Anolis sagrei: one gene and its partners. The protein of the gene in region 3 binds, or shares a complex with, the protein of the main gene of each other region. Links are inferred from orthologs where the notes say so. Each region holds a gene or a part of one and is shown on either strand. Other genes may lie near its edges.

Evidence for each region. Proteins that work in one complex are often made in the same cells at the same time.
Region 1: SNRNP200 (region 3) and RBMX2 share a complex: the UniProt entries of both Homo sapiens proteins name them as parts of the minor spliceosome. The link is inferred for Anolis sagrei from reciprocal best matches to the Homo sapiens genes SNRNP200 and RBMX2.
Region 2: SNRNP200 (region 3) and LSM2 share a complex: the UniProt entries of both Homo sapiens proteins name them as parts of the U4/U6-U5 tri-snRNP complex. The link is inferred for Anolis sagrei from reciprocal best matches to the Homo sapiens genes SNRNP200 and LSM2.
Region 4: SNRNP200 (region 3) and GPKOW share a complex: the UniProt entries of both Homo sapiens proteins name them as parts of the minor spliceosome. The link is inferred for Anolis sagrei from reciprocal best matches to the Homo sapiens genes SNRNP200 and GPKOW.

Annotation. Positions count from the first base shown.
Region 1 is NC_090030.1:10,484,407-10,492,604, forward strand, and holds the start of RBMX2 (RNA-binding motif protein, X-linked 2), read right to left. Parts: upstream 3,142-8,198; 5' UTR 3,075-3,141; coding exon 3,070-3,074; intron 126-3,069; coding exon 10-125; intron 1-9. UniProt on the Homo sapiens protein: Involved in pre-mRNA splicing as component of the activated spliceosome. As a component of the minor spliceosome, involved in the splicing of U12-type introns in pre-mRNAs.
Region 2 is NC_090022.1:21,207,018-21,214,261, forward strand, and holds the start of LSM2 (U6 snRNA-associated Sm-like protein LSm2), read right to left. Parts: upstream 3,142-7,244; 5' UTR 2,983-3,141; coding exon 2,980-2,982; intron 1-2,979. UniProt on the Homo sapiens protein: Plays a role in pre-mRNA splicing as component of the U4/U6-U5 tri-snRNP complex that is involved in spliceosome assembly, and as component of the precatalytic spliceosome (spliceosome B complex).
Region 3 is NC_090027.1:21,839,258-21,846,841, forward strand, and holds the start of SNRNP200 (U5 small nuclear ribonucleoprotein 200 kDa helicase), read left to right. Parts: upstream 1-4,570; 5' UTR 4,571-4,634; coding exon 4,635-4,679; intron 4,680-7,037; coding exon 7,038-7,201; intron 7,202-7,584. UniProt on the Homo sapiens protein: Catalyzes the ATP-dependent unwinding of U4/U6 RNA duplices, an essential step in the assembly of a catalytically active spliceosome. Plays a role in pre-mRNA splicing as a core component of precatalytic, catalytic and postcatalytic spliceosomal complexes.
Region 4 is NC_090022.1:179,133,888-179,141,387, reverse strand, and holds the start of GPKOW (G-patch domain and KOW motifs-containing protein), read left to right. Parts: upstream 1-4,359; 5' UTR 4,360-4,401; coding exon 4,402-4,571; intron 4,572-7,500. Other genes in the region: FTSJ1 (tRNA (cytidine(32)/guanosine(34)-2'-O)-methyltransferase), read right to left, coding at 1-5, 841-919, 1,040-1,142, 1,245-1,314, 2,026-2,146. UniProt on the Homo sapiens protein: RNA-binding protein involved in pre-mRNA splicing. As a component of the minor spliceosome, involved in the splicing of U12-type introns in pre-mRNAs.

The sequences.
Region 1 (8,198 bases), on a different chromosome or scaffold from region 3:
GGCACGCACCCACAAACACCCAAGCGCTATCGCTGTATTCCGAATGCCAGGAAACCTTATCTTGCACTCCCAGCTGTGCTTCACGTTCATTCAGTTCGTTGATCAGCTTCACCTTAGTAAGTGGGCTAGAAAAGGGTAAAAACAGAAAAGGGGAGCTGAAACCAAAAGCCACACTGCATATCCCACACCTGACTTGGGATAATTGGGGTTCTCAATATTTATATTTATTATGTTAGGATCATAACCTATTGGATAGCAGAATTTCAGAAGCGCTCTTATAGTTTATTGGGTAATGGATGATCACTGGGCGTGTAAATATCTTGTTTCTATTCTATGCTCTCAGCAGACAAAGATTCAAGTAGACTTCTTTACAATACTCATAACTGCATGTATTTAAATATATAGGCACATTTCTTATCAAGTTAAACTTTAAACATTTCAGTTTGTATCTTTAACTTAATAATCTTCAACAGTCTCTTCAAAACTATATCGCTCTGGACAGCTCTCTTTCATAACAGTCTACTTCCAAGGGACTCAAACCTTAACAGTCTTCTAACTTCCTACACTGGCTTCTGTACGCAAGCTGATTCAAGCCTCAACTGTCATTCCTCAACTGCCATCCTTTTAAACTTCATTCTAAGGAGTCACCGAACCAGTCACATGGTCTATAGCCCCTCCCACTGCCTCTAGTACATAAAGCTAAGAAGACTGCAAACCAAAGAAGACATACACTACAGGAAATAAACAACACATTATAAACAGACAAAACATTAAAAAGAGGAAGCTTGAGAAGGTTGCTATCTCCAACTATATTACTTCATTTTCATACCACCCTTTCTCCATGACTCAATTTGCTACATGGCTTTCTATTATGTATTTATTTGCTGAAGGCAACTCAAGGCAGTTTACAGGCGGCACAATTCGATGTCTCCAACAACATAAAACACAATTTAAAACATTCAACCTATAATATAAAATCAAATAAAACGAATAAAAGCATAAGTCCTCAGCGTCTCCTTACTAAAATAATTTTCGACTTGCCTCGTCTAGTCATTCTATGGATCTAGATTTGCCAGTTACACTGCATTTGCAAATGCTTGCTCAAAAAGCCAGGTTTTAACTTTCTATTAACCATGACCCAGGGTGCATCTAAACTACTGAATTAATTCAGTTGACCAGGAGCCGCTGGTGACATAGTGGGTTAAACCCTTGTGCTGGCAGGACTGAAGACTGACAGGCCTGAGGTTCGAATCCAGGAAGAGCGCAGATGAGCTCCCTTTGTCAGTTCCAGCTCCTCGTGAAGGGACATGAAGGGACTACTTATAACTGTTGACGTTATTTTGTAATTTTGTATATTGTATTTTGTGAATTGTTGGGCATCGAATTGTGCCTTTTGTAAGCTGCCCTGAGTCCCCCCTAGGGGGTTGAGAAGGGCGGGGTAGAGGCACCCCAAATAAATAAATAAGTAAATAAGGATGATAAAACATCTGGATGTCCCTGGGCAACGTCCTTGCAGATTGCCAATTCTCTCACACCAGAAGTGACTTGCAGTTTCTCAAGTCACTCCTGACATGAAAAAAAAAGAGTTGACGATAACTGCCATGGCTTATTCTGTGTAATCATGGGAGTTATCATTTGTAAGACTATTAGCCAATAATAATAATAACAACAACATTTTTAATTATGTTTTAATGTATGCATATTTGTATATTTTGAACAGTGTGGTCATACTTTTAATTTAAGCCGTTTTGAGTCTCCTTCAAAAGAGATAAAGTGGGGTATAAATAAACATAAACATAATAATAATAATAACAACAACAACAATAAGAGACACTTGGACCTAATGTGCATGTGTGCTGTAACATTATGTACATGTAAATAATAATAATAATAATAATAATAATAATAATAATAATGTTTTTGTCACACACTTTCCCTTGAGATGGGGTACAAAATGATTTGTTTTACTAACTTGTTATGGTTGATATTATATGTTAATATTTTAAAATGTTTTTATGATGTTGTTGGGCATTGAATTGTTGCCTTGTGAACCGCCTCAAGTTGCCTGCGGGCTGAGAGGGGTGGTATATAAATATAGCAAATAAATAATAATAACAACAACAATACCTTCTCAGTGGTGGCCCCCCACCTGTGGAATTCACTCCCGGGGGAAATCAGAACAGCACCAACCCTCCTCTCCTTCAGGAGGAGGGTGAAGACATGGCTGTGGAACCAAGCCTTTGGGCAACCAGACAATTAGACAATGACAACCAAATAAGACAATCAGATGTGTGAGATCGGCAGGATTGTCGAAATGGAACCAAAACAGATCTTTGAGTTAATTGTACACTGATGGGTAGGAGGAAGTTCCAGGTTTGTATTGTTTTTACTGATTTTATCATTTTACTGATTTTATTGGATAATGTTGAATTGTGGGAATTTGTACTGTTATATTTTTTGTGATGATTGTTTGTGTAGCAGGCGTCTAAGTGCGCCTTGCAGCTGTAAGCCGCCCTGGGTCCCCTTCGGGGTGAGAAGGGCGGGGTACAAGAACCCCAAATAAATAAATAAATATAAATAAATACTGTCAAAGCACAGCAACATAAAACACATACAAGAAAATACATATATTAAAATGCATTGTTTGTTTATTTATTTATTTACCATATTTATATACTGCCCCATTCAACCCGAAGGCGACTCGAGGCGGTTGATAATGATGCATTTGATAATAATGCCTAATGAATGCATTATTATCAAATGCATATATTAAAATGCACCACTATAAATACATATATTAAAACACATCACTATAAAATACTTATATTAAAATGCATTACTAAAATACATATTTTAGAACACATTACTATAAAATACATATCTTAAAAAGCCAAACTGTACAATGATTAAAAATACAGTAAGAATAGAATGCCAATTTAAAATTGCCAAGGTAGGTTAAAGACCTTGTCAAATTTGTCCAACTCCCACAGTTCCATAACACCGAGCCCTGGCAGTTAAAGCGGGCTCAAACTGCATTAACTCTACAGCGTAGATGCACCCAAAACTTACTTCATCTTGGTTTCTCTTCCTGTGTGAGTTTGCGCATGCGCGCTACTTCCCGGCAGGCTTCGGCGAGCGTCAGGTCGCGTCCTCTCTCTGGATAGGTCGAGCCTTCTCCGGGAGCAGCCAATCACGATCGTCCCTTGCCTCGTGCTCTTTGCTGCTTTCACGCGCCGCTTTGGAAGCCGAGATACTGCGCATGCGCAACCGCAGCTTTGTTGATAGTTCCAAAAGGCTGGCAGCTCAGAGATTTCCTTTCTTTTTTTGGCCCTGAAAAGTGTCATAAATGCGTCTAATGCAATTAAATCTCAAACCTCATATCTCACAATAATTAATGCATGTAACTCCTAATATACATTACAACACTGAATTTAATAACTAAGGGTGCGTCTACACTGTAGAATTAATGCAGTTTGACACCACTTGCATTACTATGGCTCAGTGCAATGGGATCCAGTCCCTTCCTAGCAAAAAAGCCATCAGATTTTAACCAAGGTGTGTATTTGATCCTATTTTAATATTTATAGTTTGGAGGGAGAATTTATAATAATTTACAATAAATTTATAATATAATGTAGTATAATTTATTGTATATACATGTAGTATGTATAATATTATAATGTAATGCAATATACTACTACTAATATGATATAATTTTATATTTATATTACATGTAATATTAGTAATAATATTACAATATAATGGTATAGTACAAAATAGTAATATTCAATATCGACATTGTACTATGCTAATAATATAATATATTGTATGTATATATACCTTGTAAGCCGCTCTGAATCCCCTTCGGGGTGAAAAGGGCAGCAGAGGAGGGTGCCCAGAGGAGGGCGACTAAAATGATCAAGGGTCTGGAGAACAAGCCCTATGAGGAGCGGCTTAAGGAGCTGGGCATGTTTAGCCTGAAGAAGAGAAGGATGAGAGGAGATAGGATAGCCAAGTATAAATATGTGAGACGAAGCCACAGGGAGGAGGAGGGAGCAAGCTTGTTTTCTGCTTCCCTGGAGATTAGGACGAGGAACAATGGCTTCAAACTACAAGAAAGGAGATTCCATCTGAACTTCCTGACTGTGAGAGCTGATCAGCAGTGGAACTCTCTGCCCCGGAGTGTGGTGGAGGCTCCTTCTTTGGAAGCTTTTAAACAGAGGATGGATGGGCATCTGTCGGGGGTGCTTTGAATGCAATATTCCTGCTTCTTGGCAGAATGGGGTTGGACTGGATGGCCCATGAGGTCTCTTCCAACTCTATGATTCTATATAAATGTCGTAAATAATAAATAAATAAATATTTGTATATTTTAAATTGTTGGGAGCCACTTTGCATCTCCATGTTAGATCTAACAGCAGAATAGAAATAATAATATAATAATAGTTTTCATTTGATGTTTATGCTAAAAAAATAAATTACTATTGTTTTTATCTAGTCCAACCCCTATCCATGCAGGAAAAGCACAATCAAAGCACCCCCAACAGATGGCCACACCAGCCTGTTTAAAAGCCTCCAAGGAAGGAGCTTCCACCACACCTCGAGGCAGAGAGTTCCACTGCTCAACAGCTCCCCTTACAGTAAGAAAGCTTTTCCTAATGTTCAAGTAGAATATCCTTTCCTGTCATTTGAACCCATTGCTCCAAGTCCTAATTCCAAGGGCAGCATAAAACAAGCCTGCCCCCTCTTCCTTATGACAGCCTTTCAAATATTTATACTCTCGTGTCTCCTCTCAACCTTCTCATCTGGAGGCTAAACAGACCTAGCTCTTTAAGACGCTCTTCAAAGGTATATATGGTCTCTAGATTTTGAACATTTTAGTCATCTTCCTCTGGACATATTCCACTTGTCAATATCTCTCTTAAATTGTTTTGCCCAGGATTGAACGGAGTGTTATTCCAGATGAAGTCCGAGCAAAGCAGACTAGATGAGCACCATGACTTCCTTTGATCTAAATGCTATACTCCTTTTTGCAAGATTTTTCATATCAAAAAACGAGAGAGAGAGAAGCAGCAGTGGAAAAACACAAGAGCACTGGACTTGCACAGCTATGGAACTCTGCTGTAGCATTTCAGTCAACAAGGCAGGCCAATTAAAACCTTGTCTGGAAGTGGACACCCTATTGATCCGCCTGCAGCCGGCAGAGGAGGCCATCAGCAGGGAGCCATGAACAGCCTGCTTCACAAAGGGACAGGGAATGACCTTTTTGGCACACAATGGTATCATTGGTGCCTGAGGAGCTGAGTCATTCAGGACTCACCAGCAGCAGTCTTTTTTCCCTCAATTTTTCGGATCTGAGATGTTTCCTTCCATCTTGCCAGTCATATTCAAACCTGGATTGCTGCAAGTTTTCTGGAGTGTATGGTCATGTTTCAGAAGCATTTTTTCCTGACGTTTCGCCCATATCTATGACAGGCATTCTCAGAGGTTGTGAGGTTTGTTGGAAACTAGGAAAATTGGGTTTACATATCTGTGGAATAATGTCCAGGGTGGGAGGGTGAACAGGTGGGAGAAAGAACTCTTGTCTGTTGGAGGCAAGTGTGAATGCTGCAATTGGCCGGTTTGGTTAGCATTGAATAGCCTTGCAGTTTCAAAGCCTGGCTGCTACTTGCCTGGGGGAATCCTTTGCTGAGAAATGTTTCCAGACATGGAACAATCAGGGCCAGCTAATACTTCCCAACAAAGAATTGCCCCAGGCAGGAAGCAGCCAGGCTTTGAAGCTGCACAGCTATTCAATGCTAATCAAGGCGGCCAATTGCAACATTCACACATGCCTCAAACAGACAAGAGTTCTTTCTCCCACCCTGAACATAATTCCACAGATTTATGTTCTTGCCTAGTTTCCACAGAACTCACAACCCCTGAGGATGCCTGACATAGATGTGGGTGAAACATCCGGAGAGGATGATGATGATGATGATGATGATAATAATAATAATCTTTATCTATATCCCGCCACCAGCTCCCCAGAGGGGACTCAGGGCAGCTAACATGAGGCCAAGCCCAAATACAACACAACAAAATAAAATACAGAATGCTGAAAACAAAAAATTACATCAAAATAAAATAATGTACAGTAGCAAAATAGGATAAATAAAACAAATTAACACAGGCCAAATGGAGGAGGTAAAATGACAAAACCCTGGATGAAGTAGGAAAGAAAATATGTAATTAAGGGGAACCCAAAAAGGCTAAACAGTGGGGTAGGCATTCAATTTAGGACTGGGGAAAGTGCATCATAGGGGCAACACTATGGAGTGCTTCAGGAATATGGCCATACATCCTGGAAAACTCACAGCAACCCAGTTATTCCCGCCATGCAAGCCGTTGACAACACATATTCAAGCCACTGTATTTTCACTTTCCCATCTCTTAACCTCTCAGTATCTCAGGGATTGGACTAAATCAGTGATGGGCAACCTTTTGAGTTTACTGTGTCAAAATTTGCCAAAAACCTGAGCATAACTTGGGTGGGGTGTCAACTTTGAGGAAAAAAAACATAATGTATATTCCATGCTGAGTTATGGAGTGAACAATGCTCAAACGTGCAGATGTTAAATTTGTAGAGCCTTTTACAGATTTAAGAATGGAATTAGATTGGCTCTTATAAGGTGTACTTCTCTGTATGCGGCCGCATGTGGCCGCGTGTCATCAAAAATAGCTATGCGACGTGTCAGTGCTGACACGCGTCTCATAGGTTCACCATCACGGGACTAGATGGTCCATGTGGTCTCTTTCAACGCTATCATTCTATGATTTTATTATTCTCTGGGAGGGAAAATAAAAAATATTGAGGTACCCTGCCTCTGGTCCTGAACAGCCCTCCAATAGAAACAGACCGTTCTATGCCAACTAGGCATTTCCTAAAGAGGATTTGCATGATGAGCAACGTGGGAACAACGTTCATACTACAGTTCCCATTATACTCCATCAGTATAATGTCCCTTTACGTCCCACCCGGAGTTTAAGATTGGCCGGGGGGGCCCTGCTCTCGACCCCGCCAGTGTCACAAGTGAGGCTGGCGGGGACGAGGAGCAGGGCCTTCTCGGTGGCGGCTCCCTGCCTGTGGAACTCGCTCCCCGGGGAAATCAGAACAGTGACCTCACTTCTCTCCTTTAGGAGAAAACTCAAAACTTGGTTGTGGGACCAAGCGTTTGGTCAATGAGCAGGTGAAGAATGGATACCATCTAGGAAAGGTATAATGGATTGGAATCTGGAACCCGGAAAGACAAATGCTGAACACGTGAATTGTTCTATATGCTGTGTTACTGATTGTTAATTTGCATCGTTGTTTTAACCATGATAACTGTTTTAATTGTTTATTATGATTGTCACTTGTATAAATGTAATTGTATGGGTGCCGAATGGTGCCTCGTTGTGTAAGCCACCCTGAGTCCCCCCTCGGGGGTGAGAAGGGCGGGGTATAAGTGCTGGAAATAATAATAATAATAATAATAATAATAATAATAATAATATCCATAGAAAACAGTGTATAGAAGGGGTTCCCCTATATCACCTTTAAAGCAAACACAGCAAAACATTTTATGCAATCCGAAAGAACAGAACAAACACCTTGGCGAAAGCTTGTGTGTACCATGGCCCATTTAATCAGATCCGTATCACGAACTACCGTTGTGAAGAGCACTTTGTCAATCTAAAGCATTACAACAGCTCGGTTATAAATCATTCTTTTGCAATACCTGCGTGAACTTACTCACACACAAATGCCTCTTAAGTGGGGACACTCCACACGTTAAAATAAATGAGATGAGAACCGGAGGTTTGCAAGGTGCAACAAAACATAACCCTTCCACACACAAAAATTGACAGTGCAAGTTTGGGATGGTGGTATCAGACTGACATTTATAATTTTCTTCTTGGTGCAATTGACTGCCTGAGATAAGAATGAATTCTCCTTTAAATTTAAAGCATTCTAATTCTCAGGGATGTTTCAGGTTCTTGCACTTGCAGAGGGTTGGTCTAGATGGCCCTTGGGAGCCCCATGATTCTATGGAATCACCCAGAAACTGACCAGTAACCCCCGGTCCATGTTTTATCTACTTTTGTGGCTCGTCCACAAACCCATGTGCTAGCATTCAAAGAGGTGAAAACACACAAGACATATATTTGCTTTTCCA
Region 2 (7,244 bases), on a different chromosome or scaffold from region 3:
CGTGCTTCGCAGGGCTTGGAAAAGTTGCTTGTCTGCAGCACTGGGTGTAGAATTAATGTAATTTGACATCACTGTGGCTTAATGCTATGGGGTCGTGAGAGTTGTAGTTTCACAAAGCCACTAAAATGATCCCTATGAGGAGTGGCTTCAGGAGCTGGAAAAGTTCAGTCTGAAGAAGAGAATGACATGATTGCTTTGTATAAATATCTGGAAGACTCTCATAAGGAAGAAGGAGCAGGCTTGTTTTCCGCTGCTCTGGACACTGGGACTCAATGGAGCAATGGGTTCAAATGACAGGAAAGGAGATTCCACCTGAACATTAGGAAGAACTTCCTGACTGTAAGAGCTGTTCAGCAGTGGAACTCTCTGCCTTGGAGTGTGATGAAAGTTCCTTTTTTGGAGGCTTTAAAAAAAATACTGAATGGTCATTTGTTGAGGATGTTTTGATTGTGGTTTTCCTGCATGGCAGGAGACTGGACTGGATGACCCATGTGGTCTCTTCCAACTCTACTATTCTAAGGTCTTTGGCCTTCTCTTCCAAAGAGAACTGGTCCTCACCAAACTGCAACTCCCAGGACTCCATAGCATTGATCCATGGATGGTCAAGGGGCATCAAACTACATTGATTTTGCAGTGTACAGCTGGCTCGTGTCCCTGTTTGTAGGAGGTACAGTTCCCAGGTGTTGCTTTCATTCTTCTCTCTAAACAGAATATTGTGTCACAGTAAATGTTATATTTCAGCATTATCACTTATCTGAGCTTCTTTTGTGTGTGTGTGTGTGTGTGTGTGTCAGGAGCGACTTGAGAAACTGCAAGTCGCTTCTGGTGTGAAAGAATTGGTCATCTGCAAGGACATTGCCCAGGGGACGCCCAGACGTGTTACCATCTGGTGGAAGGCATCTCTCATGCCCCCACATGGGAAGCTGGAGCTGACAGAGGAGAGCTCACCCCACTCCCTGGCTTTGAACCACCAACCTTTTGGTCAGCAGTCCTGACCATTGTGCCACCAGGGGCTCCATCTATCTAAGCCAGTGTTTCTCAACCTGGGGGTTAGGACCCCTGAAGGGGTCGCGAAGGGGTGTCAGAGGGGTCGCCAAAGACCATCAAAAAACACAGTATTTTCTGTTGGTCATGGGGGTTCTGTGTGGAAAGTTTGGCCCAATTCTATCATTGGTGGGGTTCAGAACGCTCCTTGATTGTAGGTGAACTATAAATTCCAGTATCTACAACTCCCAAATGTCAAAGTCTATTTTCCCCAAAGCCCATCAGTGTTCACATTTGGGCATATTGAGTATCCGTGCCAAGTTTGGTCCAGATCCATCATTGTTTGAGCCCACAGTGCTCTCTGGATGTAGGCGAACTAGAACTCCCAAACTCAAGGTCAATGCCCACCAAACCCTTCCAGTATTTTCTGTTGATCATGGGAGTTCTCTGTGCTAACTTTGGTTCAATTCCATTGTTGGTGGGGTTCAGAATGCTCTTTGTTTACATGTTAACTATAAATCCCAGCAACTACAACTCCCAAATGACAAACTCAATCCCCCCGCCAACCCCACCAGTATTCAAATTTGGGCATATCAGGTATTTGTGCCAAATTTGCTCCAGTGAATGAAAATACATCCTGCAGATCACTATTTACATGGCGATTCATAATGTTAGGGTTATGGTTGGGGGTCACCACAACATGAGGAACCGTATTAAGGGGGCGCGGCATTAGGAAGGTTGAGAACCACTGATCTAAGCTAAAGGCATATGTAGCCATTTTGACACCAGCAAAAATGATACATGGGAGTTATAGTTTTGCAAGGTCTTTATCCTTCTCTGCCAAATAACAGCTGGTGCCTCGCCAAACTTCTTCTTCTTCTTAGGCGATCCCTCGCTTTCCGAGGATGATTGCCTTCCAATATTCTTGTGGGTCCATATGTGGCTGTGGAGCCCTATTCTTGCTCTGCATCTTCTTCCGCAGTGAGGGCATTGGTTTCCTGGTGGAAGGCGGTCTTGGTCGGGGTTGGCTTGACGCGCCTTCCTCTTGGCACGCTTCTCTTTTTCGCCCTCCACTCGTGCCTCCTCAAATTCTGCAGCACTGCTGGTCACAGCTGACCTCCAGCTGGAGCGCTCAAGGGCCAGGGCTTCCCAGTTCTCAGTGTCTATGCCAGAGTTTTTAAGGTTGGGTTTGAGCCCATCTTTAAATCTCTTTTCCTGTCCTCCAACATTTCGTTTTCCGTTCTTGAGTTCGGAGTAGAGCAACTGCTTTGGGAGACGGTGGTCGGGCATCCGGACAACGTGGCCGGTCCAGCGGAGTTGGTGGCGGAGGACCATCGCTTCAATGCTGGTGGTCTTTGCTTCTTCCAGCACGCTGACGTTTATCCGCTGTCTTCCCAAGAGATTTGCAGGATTTTCCGGAGGCAGCGCTGATGGAATTGTTCCAGGAGTTGCATGTGACGTCTGTAGACAGTCCACGTCTCACAGGCATATAGCAGGGTTGGGAGGACAATAGCTTTATAGACAAGCACCTTGGTCTCCCTACGGATGTCCCGGTCCTCAAACACTCCCTGCTTCATTTCGGAAAAATGCTGCGCTTGCAGAGCTCAGGCGGTGTTGTATTTCGGTGTCGATGTTGACTTTGGTGGAGAGGTGGCTGCCAAGGTAGCGGAAATGATCAACATTTCCTCGCCAAACTACAACTCCCATGATTCAATAGCATTGAGCAATGGCAATTAAAGTGATGTCAAGCTGCACTCCTTCTACAGTATAGATGCACCCCTATTAGACACGAGTGCATGGACACCCCTGCAAGCAGGTTCCCCTTCCTGAATTGCAAACGAGTCCTGTGCCTGCTTAAGAGAAGACCCCAAAGACAAGAGACCAACAATCACAACAATGGAGGAGTTTCACCCCATTGAATTAATGCTTTTACTTTCCCGGGGGGAGGAGAGGGTGCTTGATGGAATGGCCAGCACTGTGACGTCACAGACTCACCATAACAGCCGCCGGCAACTCCCGCCGCACAGAACCCGCGTGGATCGAAGCCCCTGGACCAGAAAGAACTTCCCGGGCTGCGCATGCGCGGTGAGAGCCTCTGCGAACGCTCAGGAGACGAAGCAAACGGAAGCGCTGCCTTCGCGTGAAGCAGGAAAGGGAACCGGGCTGCCTTCTTAAAGGAGCCGCGGCCTAATTCTTCCCTTGATTGTTCCATATCTTAAAGGGGCCGGCTGATTAATTAACACGGCATTTAAAAGGGAAGCGGCTTCACTTTTCTTTGGGGTGAATCTACATTATACAATGAATGCAATTTGACGCCACTTTGAATGCCTTGGCTCAATGGTATGGAACCCTGGGAGTTGTAGTTTTCCAAGAGAAGTATCTATCTACACTATAACATTGAGGCGGTTTGACCCCGCTTGAACTGCCATGACTTAGTGCAAGTTTTCCAAGAGCAGTATATATCTACACTGTAGCATTGATGCAGTTGGACCCCACATTAATTCCCATAACTCAGTGCAATGAAGTTGTGGGAGTTGTAGTTTTCCAAGAGCATTATCTATACTGTTGCATGGATGCAGTTGGACCCCACTTGAACTGCCTTGAATCAGTGTAATGGGAAGTTGTAGTTTTCCAAGAGCAGTATCTACTCACTGTAGCATTGATGCAGTTTGACCCCACTTGAACTCCCATGACTTCATGCAATAGAGTTGTGGGAGTTGTAGTTTTCCAAAAGAAGTATCTATCTATACTGTAGCATGGATGCAGCTTGACCCCACTTGAATTCCCATGACTCAATGCAATAGAGTTGTGGGAGTTGTAGTTTTCCAAGAGAAGTATCTATTCTACACTGTAGCATGGATGCATTTCGACTCCACTTGCACTGCCATGCCTCAGTGCAATGGAGTCGTGGGAGTTGTAGTTTCCCAAGAAAAAAAATATCTATCTACAGTATTGATGTATACTTAGCATTCATGCATTTTGACCCCACTTGAATTCCCATGACTCAGTGCAATGAAGTTGTGGGAGTTGTAGTTTTCCAAGAGCAGTGTTTATCTATATGTAGCATGGATGCAGTTTGACCCCACTTGAACTGCCATGAATCAATGCAAAGGGGCTGTGGGAGTTGTAGTTTTCCAAGAGCAGTATCTACTCACTGTAGCATGGATGCAGTTTGACCCCACTTGAACTGCCATGACTCCATGCAATGGGGCGGTGTGAGTTGTAGTTTTCCAAGAGAAGCGTCTATCTAGACTGTAGCATGGATGCACTTTGACCCTACTTGAACTCCCATGACTCAATGCAATGGAGTTGTGGGAGGTGTAGTTTTCCAAGACACGTGTCTATACTATAGCATGGATGCAGTTTGAACCCACTTGAACTCCCATGAGTTAATACAGTGGTGTTGTGGGAGTTGTAGCTTTCCAAGAGAAGTATCTATTCTAAACTGTAGCATGGATGCGGTTCCCCCCCCCCCCCATTTGAACTGCCATGCCTCAGTGCAGTGGAGTCGTGGGAGTTGTAGTTTCCCAAGAAAAAATATCTATCTACAGTATTGATGTATACTTGGCATTAATGCAGTTTGACCCCACTTGAATTCCCATGACTCAGTGCAATGGAGTTGTGGGAGTTGTAGTTTTCCAAGACACGTGTCTATCTACACTGTAGCATGGATGCAGTTTGACCCCATTTGAACTCCCATGACTCAAAGCAATGGCATTGTTGTGGGAGTTGTAGTTTTCCAAAAGAAGTATCTATATATATTGTAGCACTAGCCGTCCCCTGCCACGCGTTGCTGTGGCCCACATAGGGGTTCTGTGTGGGAGATTTGGCCCAATTCTATTGTTGGTGGGATTCAGAATGCTCTGTGATTGTAGGTGAACTATAAATCCCAGCAACTACAACTCCCAAATGTCAAGATTCTATTTTCCCCAAACTCTACCAGTGTTCACATTTGGACATATTGAGTATTCGTATAGAGTTTGGTCCTATTGAGTATTCGTATAGAGTTTGGTCCAGATCCATTATTGCTTGAGTCCACAGTGATCTCGGGATGTAGGTGAACTGCAACTCCAAAACCAAAGGACACTGCCCACCAAACCCTTCCAGTATTTGCTGTTTTGTCATGGGAGTTCTGTGTGCCAAGTTTGGTTCAATTCCATCGTTGGTGGGGTTCAGAATGCTCTTTGATTGTAGGTGAACTATAAATCCCAGCAACTACAACTCCCAAATGACAAAATCAATTTTTTTGAGTGAAGGACATACATTGGGTTGTTAGGTGTCTTGTGTCCAAATTTGGTGTCAATTCGTTCAGTGGTTTTTGAGTTATGCTAATCCCACAAACGAACATTACATTTTTATTTATATAGATTGATGCAGTTTGACCACACTTGAACTGCCATGACCCCATGCTATGGAGTTGCAGTTTTCCAAGAGAAGTAACTATCAACACTGTAGCATTGTTGCAGTTCGACTCCACTTGAACTCCCATGACCCCATGCAATGGAGTCGTGGGAGTTGTGGTTTTGCAAGTTCCTTCTCTCCAATGAGTACTGGTGCCTCACCAAACTACAAATCCCAGGGTGCTTTTTTATCCCCCTGATTAAAATAAAAGGATGGAGGGAGTAAAAAAACCTTGGACAACCAACATTAAAAAAATTCCTTGTCTGCACCAGATGGCAGCAGAGAGCCATTTTTTGGCTTTCCTAAGGGAAATTCTCATTACACTTTAGATCAGGCATAGGCAAACTCTGGCCCTCCAGGTGTTTTGGACTTCAACTTCTACAATTCCTAACAGCCTACCAGAATTGTGGGAGTTGAAGTCCAACACATTGGAGGGCCGAAGTTTGCCCATGCCTGATCTAAAAGTGTAATGAGAATTTCCCTTAGGAAAGCCAAAAATGGCTCTCTGCCATTTGGATCCACCAATGCATCCTCTGATAGTTGACACATTAGAGCCACATAGGAATCTTGAGGTCCTCCAGCTTGATTCTATTGCTCAGATCCCCCAAAATGTTGACACCTTCTGCATTTAAATGAATGGACACCCTCTGCAATTATCTCTTTGTTTTATGTATAGATGCCGTGAAATGCCCTTATCTCTTGCATCCCGAAATATGACTATGATGTGGAACGCCAGTATGTAAAAAGGATATTGCAGAACTTTGAGAAAGCAAATGGTAACATAAGCTTTTGTAAGCATCTGAGGAGGTAGACTAAAGGTGCATCTGCACTGTAGAATGAATTCAGTTTTGAAATTGAGCAATTTCAAGGGGTGGCAGATATTGAGATCTGGATCGCAGATAGCGAAACCCAGTGTGTGGATACCGAGATCCATTAAGTGGGTAACAGGTACCGGCAGCAGGCCGACTGTGGATCCATGCCTGGTGAGACTAAGAAGCTATAACCCAATGTTCCCCAATCAAGAAATCTCACCAGTTGAAGATAAAGCTGTCAAAAAATTAAAAATGCTCAGTTTCTGCTCTGTAGCTAACCTGTACGGTTCTGTTCTGTGCTTTAAAAATGTTTAAGGCTATCAACTCACCCTCCGCATGTGAGGTTCGCTCAGTGATACGTTTTTTTGTCAGCAAGGAACCTGCCTGCTGCAGAAATTCATCGACAGATTTGTGAAGTGTACGGTGAGACTGTTATGAGTGAAAGCAAAGTGTGTAAGTGGGTACGACAATTCAAAGATGGCCGTGACAACGTCCATGATGAGGACCGCTCCGGTCGCCCTTCTTTGATTACAGATAATTTGGTGGCTTCAGTTGAAGTGAGGATTCATGAGAATAGGCGCTTCACAATAACAATAATAAAAAAATTTGAATTGTCATACCCACTTACACACTTTGCTTTCACTCATAACGGTATCACCGTACACTTCACAAATCTGTCAATAAATTTCTGCAGCAGGCAGGTTCCTTGCTGACAAAAACCGTATCACTGAGCGAACCTCACATGCAGAGGGTGAGTTGATAGTCTTAAACATTTTAAAAGCACAGAACAGAACCGTACAGGTTAGCTACAGAGCGGAAACTGAGCACAGTTGTTCCCGAGGCATGCCGGTACACGATGCACGCGCTCGTTGCAGTATGCGCGCGAACTACTAGTGTCTACAACAAAACGGACATTACTTAAAAAATACCCCTCGTATTTTTAATTACAAAAATGTGAGCCAAGCACTGAAAGGGTTGAATGAATGCAATGACTCAGCAAAAGCTATACTTCTATATAAGTAGGTGTGCCTGTTGCTTAGTAATGCC
Region 3 (7,584 bases):
CATCTTATGGAAACCTATTGTGAAACCATGGAGACCTTTGCCATCAGTGATGGTTGTTCTGCATTCTCATGGTGCAACCTTCCTCCCTCCCTCCTCTTATCCTTTTTTTTGTGCTCCACTGCCATGTAGTCTATAGGCACCACATTCGGTGACACCATTGGAGAGAAAAATAAACATGGTAGATTTGCAAAAGTGGAAAGTCATTGATGATGATGATGATGATGATAATAATAATAATAATAATAATATTCTCTCTAAACATGCAAAGATATCTCAGCCTTGTCTGTCTACCACCTGGAGGTAAAGACTCCTTTTAAAGCCAGATTTTTAAATGGTTTTATGTGTGATGCCCATGTGATAAAATAAACCTAGTTTTTTTCTATACCATGCCTGCAAACTTTGGCTCCCTATTCAGCTCTCTTGGGCAGAGAAGGCTCAAGACCTTGGGAAACTCGAATTCCCAGGGTTCCAAAGCCTTGAGCCTTGGCAGTTAAAGTGCTATCAAGCTGCATTCATTCAGCAGTGTAGATGCATTCTTTGAAGACTTGGTCTTGGATTGCAAAATAGTCTGAAACCTGGGAAGCTTCCTGTAGTCCAGGAGTGAGAATTGTATGGCTCTCTCGATATTATTGGATTGCAAGACGCAGTGGCGCTAGTCCATTTAGCCCAGTGGTTCCCAACCAGTGGTCTGCAAAAACTAAAATATGGTCCACAGCCTCACTGTTACTACACCATTGCAACAAGAGTGACTGGTCTCCAGAAACCCTTTTATAGTGCCAAGGCTTATCAAATATGGTTTTCTGTGGGAAAGCAGACTACTGGATGACATATGTTCTGTATCAGAAACTAGAGCTGATGTGGTCTATCCAATGTAGTTTTCTGAATCAGCACCCCAAATAACCAAACAGAATCTAAAGTTGACCAAAAACTGATTTGTAACCCTTTTGGTACTAATATTGGGGAGTGGTCCCTGGTCAAAAAATGTTTGGAACCACTGATTTAGCCAATGGAAAAGTAACACCTAAAGTTGTAGTCCAAGCACATAGATAGCCAGAGATAGAGTGCTGATGGAAGTAGAACAGTTTGTGGCAGGATGAAAATCATGTGTAGTTCACGTTTTACGAGTCTACACACTGTCTTGCCAGAGAAAGAAAATATGCCATACAGATGATCAGTAAAACACAAGTTTAATTGATAAAGTGCAGAGCGACATATATACAATCACGAGAACAGTTGCATTGACTCACACAATGTCTTTTGAGGTTCAAATCGCATTTAAGCATCTATGTGGAAGATCCTCTTCCAACAGCTCATGAAGCAAGAACTGTCTTTCTCTGTCTGCAAGCTCTTGCACAGCTAAAGCCTAAACATGTAACTGTTGCCAAAACTCCCAGGCTCAGCTAGCTTGGCCTGACCAATCAGCTTCGTGCTTTGCATTTTCAGTTAACACACTCACCAACTGATTTTTTTACATGCCCTAACGCACTCCAAAACCTGAGGTTTTTGTTTTTTTGTTGTTGTTGTGTCAGGAGTGACTTGAGAAACTGTAAGTCGCTTCTGGTATGAGAGAATTGGTCATCTGCAAGGACGTTGCCCAGGGGATGCCCGGATTTTTGATGTTTTATCATCCTTGTGGGAGGCTTCTCTCATGCCCCGCATGAGGAGCTGGAGCTGATAGAGGGAGCTCATCCACACTCTCCCCGGATTCGAACCTGCGACCTGTCAGTCTGAGGTGAACCTTAGGTGAAGGTAAACCTAAGGTGAAACCTGAGGTGAAGCTAAGCCAGTGTCAACCCAAGAGAAACTTCTTGGAAGAAACAACCTTGATGATTATGTTCCAAATATTTGGAAAACACTGAGCCAGTTCCAAATGCCCCCATAACGAATTTTAGGTATGGGGCTTTCCAAGTAAGGTGGCCTCCATTCTGGTTCCCAGAATCTCTTCAGGACATTTTCTCATGGACATATCTTGGTCCTCCTTGACATAGGGTTGCCCTTGAAGACCACCTGCCTTACCCAGTTGGAATTGCTGGGAAGTGCCGTTGGTATATTTAGAACATATAAAAGGAGATACTCCAGTGCACAGCATGTTGCCAGATTGCGGAATTTGTGGCGGCGTTGGATGCCCAGAAATGTCCTGCTTGTTGCGGTTAATTGAGTCATCTAATTCTAGGAACTATTCCTGACTCTCGTTTTCTTAGCGTCCTATGATCCAGTGAATTCGTACTGTTTGGCCCTGTTTGGCATTTGCTAATATCAACTTCGTGCCGAATTGCACGCCCTAGAAGACAATACATCTTACCTGTTTATTTCCTATATAAAAAAAGGATAATTGGGCACCAAATGGTCAAGGACGGAACTGTTGATTTTTCCAACACAATAAGGCTCCTTCTACACTGCCATATAAAATCCAGATCATCTGATTTAAACTGGATTATATGTCAGTGTAGGCTCATATAATCCAGTTCAAAGTAGATAATGTAGATTATCTGATTTGATAACCTGGATTATATAGCAGTGTAGAAAGGGCCAATGCAGCCCAAATCTAACTGTGAGTGCATCTACAGCAGGCATGGGCAAACTTTCTAATTTTGGGGCTGCGTGCAAGGACTCCCTGCGAAGAGGACTGGCTGCCCAGTGATTGAAGGAAGGAGGGGAAGGAGGAAGGAAATAGAGAAGGAAGGAAGGACAAAAGGGAGGAAGGGAGGATGGAAGGAGAAAGAGGGATGGAAAAACAAAAACGAAGGAGAAAGAGAGAGGAAAGAGGTAAAGAAGGAAGGGTGGAAAGGAAGGAAGGAGGGTGGGATAAAGAGGGAAGGAAGGAGGAAGGAAAGAGAGAAGGAACAAAAGGGAAGGAAAGGATGTAAGGAGAAAGAGGGAGGTAAGGAGGAAGGAAAGAGAGACAAAAGGGGAGGAAGGATGGAAGGTTGGAAAGGAGGAAGAGATGGAAGGAAGAGAAAGATGGAAGGAAAAACAAAAGGGTAGAAGGGAATGGAGGGAGGGAGAAAGAGGGAAGGAGAGAGAGGAAAGAAGCAAGGGTGGAAGAGAAGGGAGGAAGAGAAGGAGGAAGGAAAGACATAGGAAAGGAAGGATAGGATCATAAGGGAGAGGAGGGACTGAGGAAAGAAACCAAACCATTTAATTTAAACCCACCAAGACACCCATGACATCATGGTAAACACACCTGGACTTCAAAGTCTTATCTCGAATCCTCTGAGAATATCTAGCCTGCTTTTCATGCTCTGTGTTCTCAGGTCTAATCTATACTCCCTTGAAAACTCCCCTTCTTTCAAAAGCCTTTTCTCAAGGGAACTGGTACTTTAATTTTCCCATCGCCTAGGAACGAGCGGAAGAATTTCAAAATACCAGCCTCGTCTGCCTGCAATTCCCTCATGGATACCTTATTTTGGAAATAATTTCCCCCCTCATCCTCTGAACATTCAGAAAAATCCTCAGATGCTTGCCAGACTACAACACCAATGACCCTCCTTCACGTGAAGCTTCTTCTGATGAAGATACTCTATACCAGTGGTTCTCAACCTGGGGTCTCCAGATGTTTTTGGCCTTCAACTCCCAGAAATCCTAACAGCTGGCAACCTGGCTGGGATTTCTGGGAGTTGTAGGCCAAAAACATCTGGGGACCCCAGGTTGAGAACCACTGCTCTATACCAAAAGGCAAAGACTGGTACTTTGTGGTGTTCATTTCAGCTATGAAAAATATGGTCCTAGCTCTTCTGTAAAAATCTTATTCCGCCAAGGGACTGGGAACAGGTATATATGAATCTACAGTATTACTATGGAAATTAACCTTGAATAAATAATACCAATGCCAACAAAACTACATACAGCAGAGTCTCGCTTATCTGACCTTTGCTTATCTGACAATCTGTCTTATCCGACACCCCCTTTTCCTCCAGCATTCCCCCTTCGATGAAAAGAGCGCTCCCCAACTCTCTCTCCAGGGGCAGGGGACGGCTAGTAATATCACAGATTTGAAAGGGACCCCTAAAGAAGGACTATGATATGGTGCATGTTCCAGAGTAGGCAAACCAGACAATCTTTACATCAACACTGACAAAGAAACAATAAAAATACTGTTTACTCACAAGCATAAAGACATTACATATATTTGAAACCAACACTTTTTCATTACTTTATTTTCCAGATCATTGGACTGGGCCACAGCAACGCCTGGCAGGGGACGGCTAGTATGTAACACACACACACACACACAAACTATACTAGGCCTGGGCCAACTTGGGCCCTCCAGGTGTTTTGGACTTCAACTCCCACAATTCCTAACTATCTACCGGCTATTAGGAATTGTGGGAGTTGGAGTCCAAAACACCTGGAGGGCCGAAGTAGGCCCAGGCCTGCCGTATACATTGCATACCTTCTTTTCTGACTTTCCTTCACTCATTTGAAAACGAGGCTGAAAAAAAATGGCCGCCCTCAAACCGGAAGTCCTCCCAGGCTTCGCCAAGACCAGCCATTCTAGGAGTTCATCATGGCATAGAGAAGGCGGCTGAGGCATCCCCTACGCGCCGGAAAGAGGCAGCTTAGGACCGGAAGCGGAAGTTCTCAGTGGCGCTTTTGCGTGCCAGAGGCGTTTGACGGAGTGAGGGAAAGCAGCGATGGCGGACGTCACCGCCCGGAGCCTCCAGTACGAATATAAGGCGGTGAGTGGAGGAAAGGAGGCTGAAAGGGGGGTGGTTTATTTATTTACTTACAGCTAAGATACCTCCGATAGAGTTACAAGGTAGGTAGATGCAGGGAACGCCGTGGAATTCAGGAAGGCCTTCCCTCGACAGGTTTCCCCATGACTTAGAATCATAGAATCAAGGAGTTGGAAGAGACCTCATGGGCCATCCAGTCCAACCCCATTCGGCCAAGACGCAGGAATATTGCATTCTAATCACCCCTGACAGATGGCCATCCAGCCTCTGTTTAAAAGCTTCCAAAGAAGGACCCTCCACCACACTCCGGGGCAGAGAGTTCCACTGCTGAACGGCTCTCACAGTCAGGAAGTTCTTCCTCATGTTCAGATGGAATCTCCTCTCTTGTAGTTTGAAGCCATTGTTCCGCGTCCTAGTCTCCAGGGAAGCAGAAAACAAGCTTGCTCCCTCCTCCCTGTGGCTTCCTCTCACATATTTAGGCATGGCTATCATATCTCCTCTCAGCCTTCTCTTCAGGCTAAACATGCCCAGCTTCTTAAGCCGCTCCTCATAGGGCTTGTTCTCCAGACCTTTGATCATTTTAGTCGGCCACCTCTGGACACATTCCAGCTTGTCAACATCTCTCTTGAATTGTGGTGCCCAGAATTGGACACAGTATTCCAGATGTGGTCTAACCAAAGCAGAATAGAGGGGTAGCATGACTTCCCTAGATCTAGACACTAGGCTCCTATTAATGCAGGCCAAAATCCCATTTGCTTTTTTTGTCGCCACATCACATTGTTGGCTCATGTGTAACTTGTTGTCCACGAGGACTCCAAGATCTTTTTCACACGTACTGCTCTCAAGCCAGGCATCATCGTCCCCCATTCTGTATCTTTGCATTTCGTTTTTCCTGCCAAAGTGGAGTATCTTGCATTTGTCACTGTTGATCTTCATTTTGTTAGTCTTGGCCCATCTCTGTAATCTGTCAAGATCGCTTTGAATTCTGCTTCTGTCCTCTGGAGTATTGGCTATCCCTCCTAATTTGGTGTCATCTGCAAACTTGACGATCATGCCTTCTAAAACACCTGGGGACCCACAGGTTGAGAACCACTGGGTTAAGCAAACGAACCCAGAGGGTGATTCTCCCCAATGCTTAATTATTTATTATTTATTTACAGTATTTGTATACTGCTTTTCTCACCCAGAGGGGGACTCAAAGCGGTTTACACATAAGTAATGGCAAAAATTCAATGCCAGTATAAACAATTACAATTATACACAACAATTAGACATGAATCAAATTAAAACAAAACATCCATGAGCAATAAATGAGCCCATGAGCTTACATCCATGGGCATGTAAGACATACCTGTTTTGACAGGCCTTTGATTTTTAATATTGCTGGTTTTAAATTGTTTTTAAATTGTGTTAGATTTTAGCCGTTTTTGTAAGCCACTCCGAGCCCCAGGGGAGTGGCGGCATATAAGTTCGAATAATAAATAAATAAAATAAAACAATCATTAAAACAATAAAACAGTCTCGTCCGTCAAATCGCCGTTCCAGTCATTGTCTTTTCGAAATGCTGCATACATTTAGTTCTACTGCCCTAATGCCTGGTCCCAAAACCATGTTTTTAATTTCTTTCTAAAAGCCAGGAGGGAGGGAGTGGATCTTACCTCATTTGGGAGTGTGTTCCATAGGTGGGGGGCCACAGCCGAGAAGGCCCTGTCTCTCATCCCCACCAGGCGCATCTGTGCTGTTGACGGGAGTGAGAGCAGGGCTTCCCCGGATGATTTTAGATTACAAGGTGGGACGTAGGGGTGGATATGTTCGAACAAGTAAGCTGGGCCAGAACCATATAGAGCTTTATAGGTCACAACCAGCACTTTGAATTGGGCTCGGAGATGTACTGGCAGCCAGTGGAGCTGGCATAGCAGGAGGGTGGTATGCTCCCTGCATGTCACCCCAGTTAGTAATCTGACTGCCGCCCGCTGAACTAGCTGAAGTTTCCGAACTGTCTCCAAAGGCAGCCCCACGTAGAGCGCATTCGGGATGTAACCAGAGCGTGGACCACCGTGGCCAGATTAGATCAGTACAGGCATCATGTTCTTATGAGATTTTGTTTTGTTGGTGCCTCTTGAAATCCTGCTTTACAGTGTTATGTTTTATTGGTCTTTTGGAACATTACTTGCTTTTTAGAACTTTTATCTTTTACTTTTCAATAAACTACAAAGACTTCAGTCTGTGTGCAGTTTTGGTGATTTCAGCATGGTGAATCTACTCTGAGGTGCGACAAACATGTTATTTCTCATAATGAGGTAAAAATGGTAAGAATTCTCCAGTGTCCTGATCCGCCTTCTTGTTTGTTCTTTTTTCTAGAACTCCAATCTCGTACTCCAAGCTGACCGCTCCCTGATTGACAGGACTCGTCGTGATGAACCCACCGGCGAGGTCTTGTCGCTTGTCGGGAAGCTGGAAGGCACCCGGATGGGGGACAAGGCCCAGAGGACCAAGCCCCAAATGCAGGAGGAGAGACGAGCAAAGTGAGCAGACCATTTTACAGTTGCACCTAGAGTCAAACCCATGTTGCTTATTGTTCCTGAGCTGTTAAACTACTTGAGCTTACATTGTTTTGTCACTCAGAAAGCTGAGCTGTGTACAGCCAGCTAACAGGAGCACAACAATATTTGCTTGTTGAATGTTAAACCAGGCATGGGCAGACTTGGGCCCTCCTGGTGTTTTGACAAATGACAAATGGCCTGTATCATGACTTGAACTGCCATTCAATCTGATGTCCTATATTATATTAACTGATACTGTTAATTTGCTCTGTTTCCATGATTTTTCCTATGCCGTTATACATTGTCATCTACCTTACTAAACCACTTTATCCTTTAACTAGTTCACGTAGTGGTTTTCCTCCCCC
Region 4 (7,500 bases), on a different chromosome or scaffold from region 3:
TGTCACTGGAACAGCAAAGGATACATACATCAAAATAAATACAGGAAGCTATTCCTCACTTTTTGTAAAGCTAACTGGAGAATTGCAATTGGCTAAAGATTTTGGAAATTAGATACAGAGGATTTATGTTTTATTGATTTTATTGTTTATGGAATTTTATGGATGTTTATATGTTTTTAACTGTTTATATTATTGTGGCATCGAATTGTGCCAGTTTTGTAAACCGCCCTGAGTTGCCCTCGGGCTGAGAAGGGTGGTATAGAAATATAGTAAATAAATAAATAAATAATAAGTCCCAGGTGGACTGAGAATGTGGCTGCAGTACACAGACATAAGCAATTATGACAGGAGCACAGAAGCCATGAAAGAAGTAAGGTACTGGAGAAATATAGTCAGTGCTACACATTTGTGGGTTCGACTTTTGTGGATTTGATTTATAGACTTCATTAAAATCTCTCTAGGAATCTCCAGGTCCTCCAGTGTGATTCTATGGTCAACTTCCTCCAGGCCATGAAGTCACGCTGAAGAATACTTAAAAGAACACTTCTCTAAGGTCTCTTGGCTTTCCAGTGCAATCCTATGGTCAGTTTCTAGCAGATGCTGAGCCAAGAACCAAGCAGAAAGATCTAGAAATTCCTAGAGACATGTTTTCTCAGCTAATAAAAGCAACAATTTTTCATGTATGATATTTTACATTTAGGGAGGCACTGTGCCTTTAAGCCCAGAGAATGTGGGAGGCTGACTGCACCCTGTTTAGAGATGGCAGATTCTCCCTGGCCAATGGTGCACAATCCTGGGAAAAGTAGAAACAGTAAGATTATGGCTGTGATTTCTACCTACCATCAGGAGCTCCATCACACACCACCAAGTCAGCAGGTTGCCCTTCAAAATGATGGATTATCTCTTCTGCTGTAGAGACCTGGAAGCAGAGGGAGAGAAGTGATGGGGTGGGTTATAATGGCCAAAGGGTTGCTATTAAGTAGGCCTTAAATTCAAGGAGAGGTAGGGTGGATTTTGAATTGGGTTGGAAACACAATACCTTGGTAATGTCCCCCTGAATTTGAATAACTCCAGACAAGGGAGCCATGGCTTGCAAATCTACAGCCACTATTTTGACATCTTCATTTTTAGCACCTTCTCCTCTGTAGAAAAAAAAGGGTGTGTGTGTGTTGAGGATGAATTTCTGGTTATCTCCTATAAGGTGGTAGTCCCCCATAAACACTACAACAAAGTGACTTGCTTACTTCAGTTTTCGGCTCAAAACTTGGCTCCAGCTCCCAGGAGCAGCACAGAGATCCACAGCCCTTGAGACACCTAGAGAGAGAAAAGAGGGAATAAGAAAGGTAAGGGGATGCCATGGCAAGAAGACTGCAATATGAGACTAGGAAGTACAACTCATGGGTTTCTTTCCTGAAAAAAGATAGTAGGGGAAAAAGGAAGGTTTCCAAGTTTGCTCAAATTTCGAAATGATAGCCTTGCTTCTGAGCCCCAAAATATTATCTCCATGGCAAACAAACAGTATTCTGTATATGCTCAAAGGAAGTGTTCTATTGCCAAGCTTGAAGTGATTTCTGCACAGTCCACTGTAAACACTGCAAATTTGTGAAAATGGGTGGCATTCAGAAACCTTTTTCCAATTTTTTTGTGATCCCAATATTGAGCTAAAGGGGACCCCATTTGAGGTTGGGACTCACAGTTTAAGAATAGTGGTCTAGACCAGTGATTCTCAAACTCTGATCCTCCAGATATTTTGGACCTTCAGGAAATCTAGAAGTTGAGGTCCCAAACATATGGAGGGCCAAAACTGACAGCTATTCGGCAGAGTAAATTTGATTATTTCTTGCAGCTTAACTTCCCATCACTTTTATCCTACCAGATAAAAGTCCTCCTTGGCTAAGATGGCTAGGATTGATCAGAGTTGCAGTACAAGAACATCTGCAAGATTGTACCACTCCCATGCACAACTGAAATGTTTCACCCCACACATTCTGGATAGATGAATTCCAATTGTATGATGGGGCTCACCTTGAAACAAATGATATTCTTCATCCAGTTGGAGAAGTTTGAAGGCGCTGCGAGCTCGCCAGCCTTCCTCCTTCGCCAAGCGGTAGTAAATGTCCCGTTTGTCCTTAGAGGAACGTCCCATCTTCCCTTACATGAAATGTCCTGGATGTGAGAGAGAAGAAAAACAATTGACTACTATGTCAGCAAGAATTATGAATTGAGCAGCAGCATTGGCTTATTATAATCAATGAAATCAAGGCATCCATATTGGTTAAAAGTGAAGATGGTTCAAGGAATAATAAAGCTGAAGAGCCCACGTGGGTCATCCAGTCCACCCCTTGCCATGCACAATCAGAGCAGACAGCCTATCAAACCCCCACACTATAGGAATGGAAAACATGTGTTTCTAGACAAAAGTTCCTAACCTCTCTGACCACTGGCTAAAGCCCCTTCCACACAGCTGTATAAAATCCCACATTACCTGCTTTGAACTGGATTATATGGCAGTGTGGACTCTGATAACCCATTTCAAAGCAGATGTGAATTATCTGCCTTGATATTCTGGGTTATACAGCCGTGTGGAATTACCCCTTCTACACTGCTATAGAAAATTTATTTATTATTTATGACATTTATATGCCACCCTCCTCACCCTGAAGAGGACCCAGAGCGGCTTACAAGATATATATACATTCAATATATATTATTAGCATAGTATAATGTCAGTATTATATATTACTAACTTTCACCTGCCACGGGTTGCTGTGGCCCAGTCTGCTGATCTGGAAAATAAAGTAACGGGAAAGTGTTGGTTTCTAATATATGTAATTTCTTTATGCTTGTGGGTAAACAATATTTCTTGCTGTTTCTTTGCCAGTGTTGATGTGGAGATGGTCTGGTTTGCCTACTGTAGAACATGCAACATATAATTTTTCTTCTTTAGGGGTCCTTTTCAAATCTATGATACTATATCTGTGTGTGGATCATATCTATCTATTTATATCTATGGCTGGATGGCTCTTTGTCAGAAGGGCTTTGATTATATTTTCTTGCCCTGGTGAAAGGAGTTGGACTGGATGGCCTTAAGGCAGCATTTCTCAACCTGGGGGTCGGGACCCCAGGTGTGTGTGTGTGTGAGGAGGTGTCAAAAGGGTCACCAAAGAAAAACACAGTATTTTCTGTTGGTCCTGGGGCTTCTGTGTGGGAAGTTTGGCCAATTCTATCGTTGGTGGGATTCAGAATGCTCTGTGTAGGTGAACTATAAATCCCAGTAACTACAACTCCAAAATGTCAAGGTCTATTTCCCCCAAACTCCACCTGTGTTCGTATTTGGGCATATTGAGTATTCATGCCAAATTTGGCATAGATCTTTCATCGTTTGAGTCCACAGTGCTCCCTGGATGTAGGTGAACTGCAACTCCCAAACTCAAGATCAATGCCCTCTAAACCCTTCCAATATTTTCTGTTGGTCAAGTGAGTTCTGTGTGCCAGGTTTGGTTCAATTCCATCATTGATGGAGTTCAGAATGCGCTTTGATTGTAGGTGAACTATAAATCCCAGCAACTACAACTCCCAAATGAAAAAATCATAATTTTTGAGTGATGGTCACTCTTTGTGTTGTGAAATGTTTTGTTGCCAAATTTGGTGTAATTGGTTCTTTTGTTTTTAAGGTACTCATTATGCACAGAGCATTTTAATATATATACTATAATTACCATTATATTGTAATTTTATTAGTAATATGACATGTAATATAAAATATATAATTATTATATTGTATTATTATTAGTATTATATTGTTTTACATTACAATATTATAAATATATGTATATACAATATATTATATAAGTAAACCACAGGAGACAAGATGGAACTGTCTTCTGCCCCCCCCCTTCCAGACTGTATAGACTCATATAATCCAGTTCAAAGCAGCTAATGTGGCTGATCTTCTTTGGTAATCTGGATTATATGACAGGGGGCCTTAAAAGCATCTGAAAAAATGGGAGGAGTTTTCCTGACAAACCGAGACAACGGAAGGACATCGGGTATCCAGTGGAGACATCCATAAACGATGATCTCTTTATAAATCTGCAAACCGAATAAGAAAAAGCAAAGGTCTCTATAATTACCAGTGTAAATTCAGACAGTGCTCGATTGTTATCTTCAGAGAGCAGAGAAAAGCGTGGAAGAGAAGAAGCGCATGCGCAACATGACTTATGTGCGGCCGGCTCCGGAAGGAAGTGCTGTTGCCGCATTGCATCCTGGGAGTTGTCGTCCTCAGGCGCCTCTGTTTCAGAACTTCGATAAAGAAGCGGGAGTCTCTAAAACTTCGTCTCCCATGATGCAACGCAACGACGTAAGTGGCGATGGGGGCGGGGCAAGGCAGGGGAAAATAAGATGGCGGAAGGAGCAGAGAAGTCAGCGGCCACTCCGCCGGCCCCGGTCTCTTTCGGCTTCACTCGGACCACTGGGCGGAGGCGGTTTTTGGTGGTGACCGGGCAGGATGGCGGCGAGGCGAAGCAGGAGCCCGACTTCCTCTCAGCCGTCGAGGGACGGGAGTTGCAAAGGTAGGCCGGCTTCCTGCTCTCGACCAGCTTGGGCCTAGGAGCAGGGGGCGCCTCTCAAGGCGCAGCTACATTGTGGAATGAGCGCACTTCGACACCGCTTTAACTGCCTCGTCTCAATGTTGTTAAATTCAAGGATTTGACAGTGTTATTTCAATGTTTAAATGGGCAGTACTTACTTTGAAGGTAGTTGTTCTACTCCAGAAACTTCGTTTTTGTGGCTGCCGTAAACTATGTGGAATTGGTCGATCCTCTATTGAGATATTCATTGAAAAACTAGAGCAAATGTGTTGCAAGATGCCCCAGTGCAAGGTCTTTGCAGTTTAATAATCTTTTCCATGTTTTTATGATAGACCCAATTAGGAAATTTATTTATTTATTTATTTCGAGTACTTCTAGCCCGCCCTTCTCAACCCCCGAGGGGGGACTCAGGGCGGCTTACAAAAAGGCACAATTCGATGCCGACACAAAATACACATAACGTACAAAACCATAATTAAAACAATTAGCACAGTTAAAACAGTCGGTATATAACACATCAATAAAACTAATCTCATGCTCAGCATTCGTCTTTCAGAGTTCCATAATTCCATTCATTAGTCAATTCCTGTCCATCGTCAAAGTCCTTTCTTTATCTGCCAGATTATCCGAATGCCTGGTCCCAAATCCATGTTTTCAATTTTTTCCTAAAGGAAAGGAGGGATGACACTGATCTAATTTCCCTGGGGAGTGAATTTCACAGGTGGGGGGCCACCACTGAGAACGCCCTGCTCCTCGTCCCCACCAACCTCACTTGTGATAGAGGCGGGGTCGAGAGCAGGGCCTCCCCAGAAGATCTTAGACTCCGAGGTGGGACGTAAAGGGAGATCCGTTCGGACAGATACACTGGGCCGGAACCGTATAGGGTTTTGTAGGTCAAAACCAGCACTTTGAATTGTGCTTGTAATTGGATCGCCAGCTAGTGGAGCTGACACAACAGGGGGGTGGTATGCTCCCTGTATGACGCTCCGGTGAGCAATCTCGCTGCCTCCTGCTGGACTATTTGGAGTTTCAGAACAGTCTTCAAAGGCAACCCCACGTAGAGTGCGTTGCAGTAATCTAATCGGGATGTAACAAGAGCGTGGACCACCGTGGCCAGATCCAACTTCCCAAGGTACGGGCACAGCTGGCGCACAAGTTTTAGTTGTGCAAAAGCTCTCCCGGCCACCGCTGGGTTACATTGATAACCCAGGAACAGAAACCGTGTTACAATGAGGCAGGCTGGCTCTGTCAAAATTACACTCTTTAGAGACTTACTAGTGTTCAGATTGTAGTTGTTGACAGCTTTCGGCTATTGTTGTTGTTCATTCGTTCAGACATTTCCGACTCTTCGTGACCTCATGGACCAGCCCACGCCAGAGCTCCCTGTTGGCCGTCACCACCTCCAGCTCCTTCAGGGTCAATCCAGTCACTTCAAGGATCCCATCCATCCATCTTGCCCTTGGTCGGCCCCTCTTCCTTTTTCCTTCCGTTTCCCCCAGCATCATTGTCTTCTCCAAGCTTTCCTTTCTTCTCATGATGTGGTCAAAGTACTTCATCTTGGCCTCTACTGTCCTTCCCTCCAATGAGCAGTCGGGCTTTATTTCCTGGAGGATGGACTGGAGGAATCCTTTCCAGCCAACAAACCTTTATATGGCCCTGGGTATATCTATATAAATAAAAATGAAATGTTCGTTTGTGGGATTAACATAACTCACTGGACAAATTGACACCAAATTTGGACAGAATACACCTATCAGGCCAACAAGTGACCGTCACTCATAAAAACACTGAAAAACACAGCAGCAATCCAAGGCACGCTCAGCTCTTTCCTCCAACACCACAGTTCAAAAGCATCTATTTTCCTTTGCTCAGTCTTCCTTATGGTCCAGCTCTCACATCCGTAGGTGACTATGGGGAATACCATTGCTTTCGGCTAACAAATGTATTATAACATGAAGTACAGTTTACTTGCTAAGTGCACACAATTCATTGGTACATATAAGTCTATTACTAGAGATCTGGATCGAGATGGCAAATTCTTAGAACCATAGAATACTAAGCATGGAAGGTGCAGCACTCAATACATAACGGAAGCACTTTTGAAAGATGCCCATCTGACATCAGTTTAAAGGCCTCTAAAGGAGGAAGGCTCACTGCATTTATTAGCTGGCTTATCTAGTGCCAATTGTGTATATTTGTGATGCTGTAGATCAGGGGTTCTCAAACTAAAGCCCGGGGGCCGGATATAGCCCTCCAAGGTCATTTACCCGGCCGTCGCTCAGAGTTGACCTAAGTCTGAAACTACTTGAAAGCATACAACAACAACAATCCTATCTCATCAGCCAAAAGCAGGTCCACACTTCCCACTGAGATACTAATACGTTTATATTTGTTAAAATTGTTCTTCATTTTAATTATTGTATTGTTTTTAAATGTTTTTTGCACTACAAATAAGATATGTGCAGTGTGCATAGGAATTCATTCATGTTTTTTTTCCAAATTATAATCTGGCCCTCCAACAGTTTGAAGGACTGTGACCTGGCCCTCTGTTTAAAAAGTGTGAGGACCCCAGCTGTAGAGTATCTGATGCTATACAAGTAGTCCCTGAGTTACAGACATGATAGGTTCTGTAGATTTGTTCATAAGTTGAATTTGTATGTAAGCGGAAACAGAACTGTAACTCCAGCCAAATATGTATACAGTATATGTATGTGTGTGCACACATATACATATACATGCGTGCACACAAATACACATGCTTTAAATAGCATGGGGAAGGGTTAAGACCCCTGTGGTGGTTGTTTGGCTGTCTATGCCCCTGTTAAGAAGATTTCACTTCACTTTCTGACCCTGTGGTAACTAGATTTTGGAAAAATTGGCTTGTTATGGAAACAGATATTGGAGAAAAAGC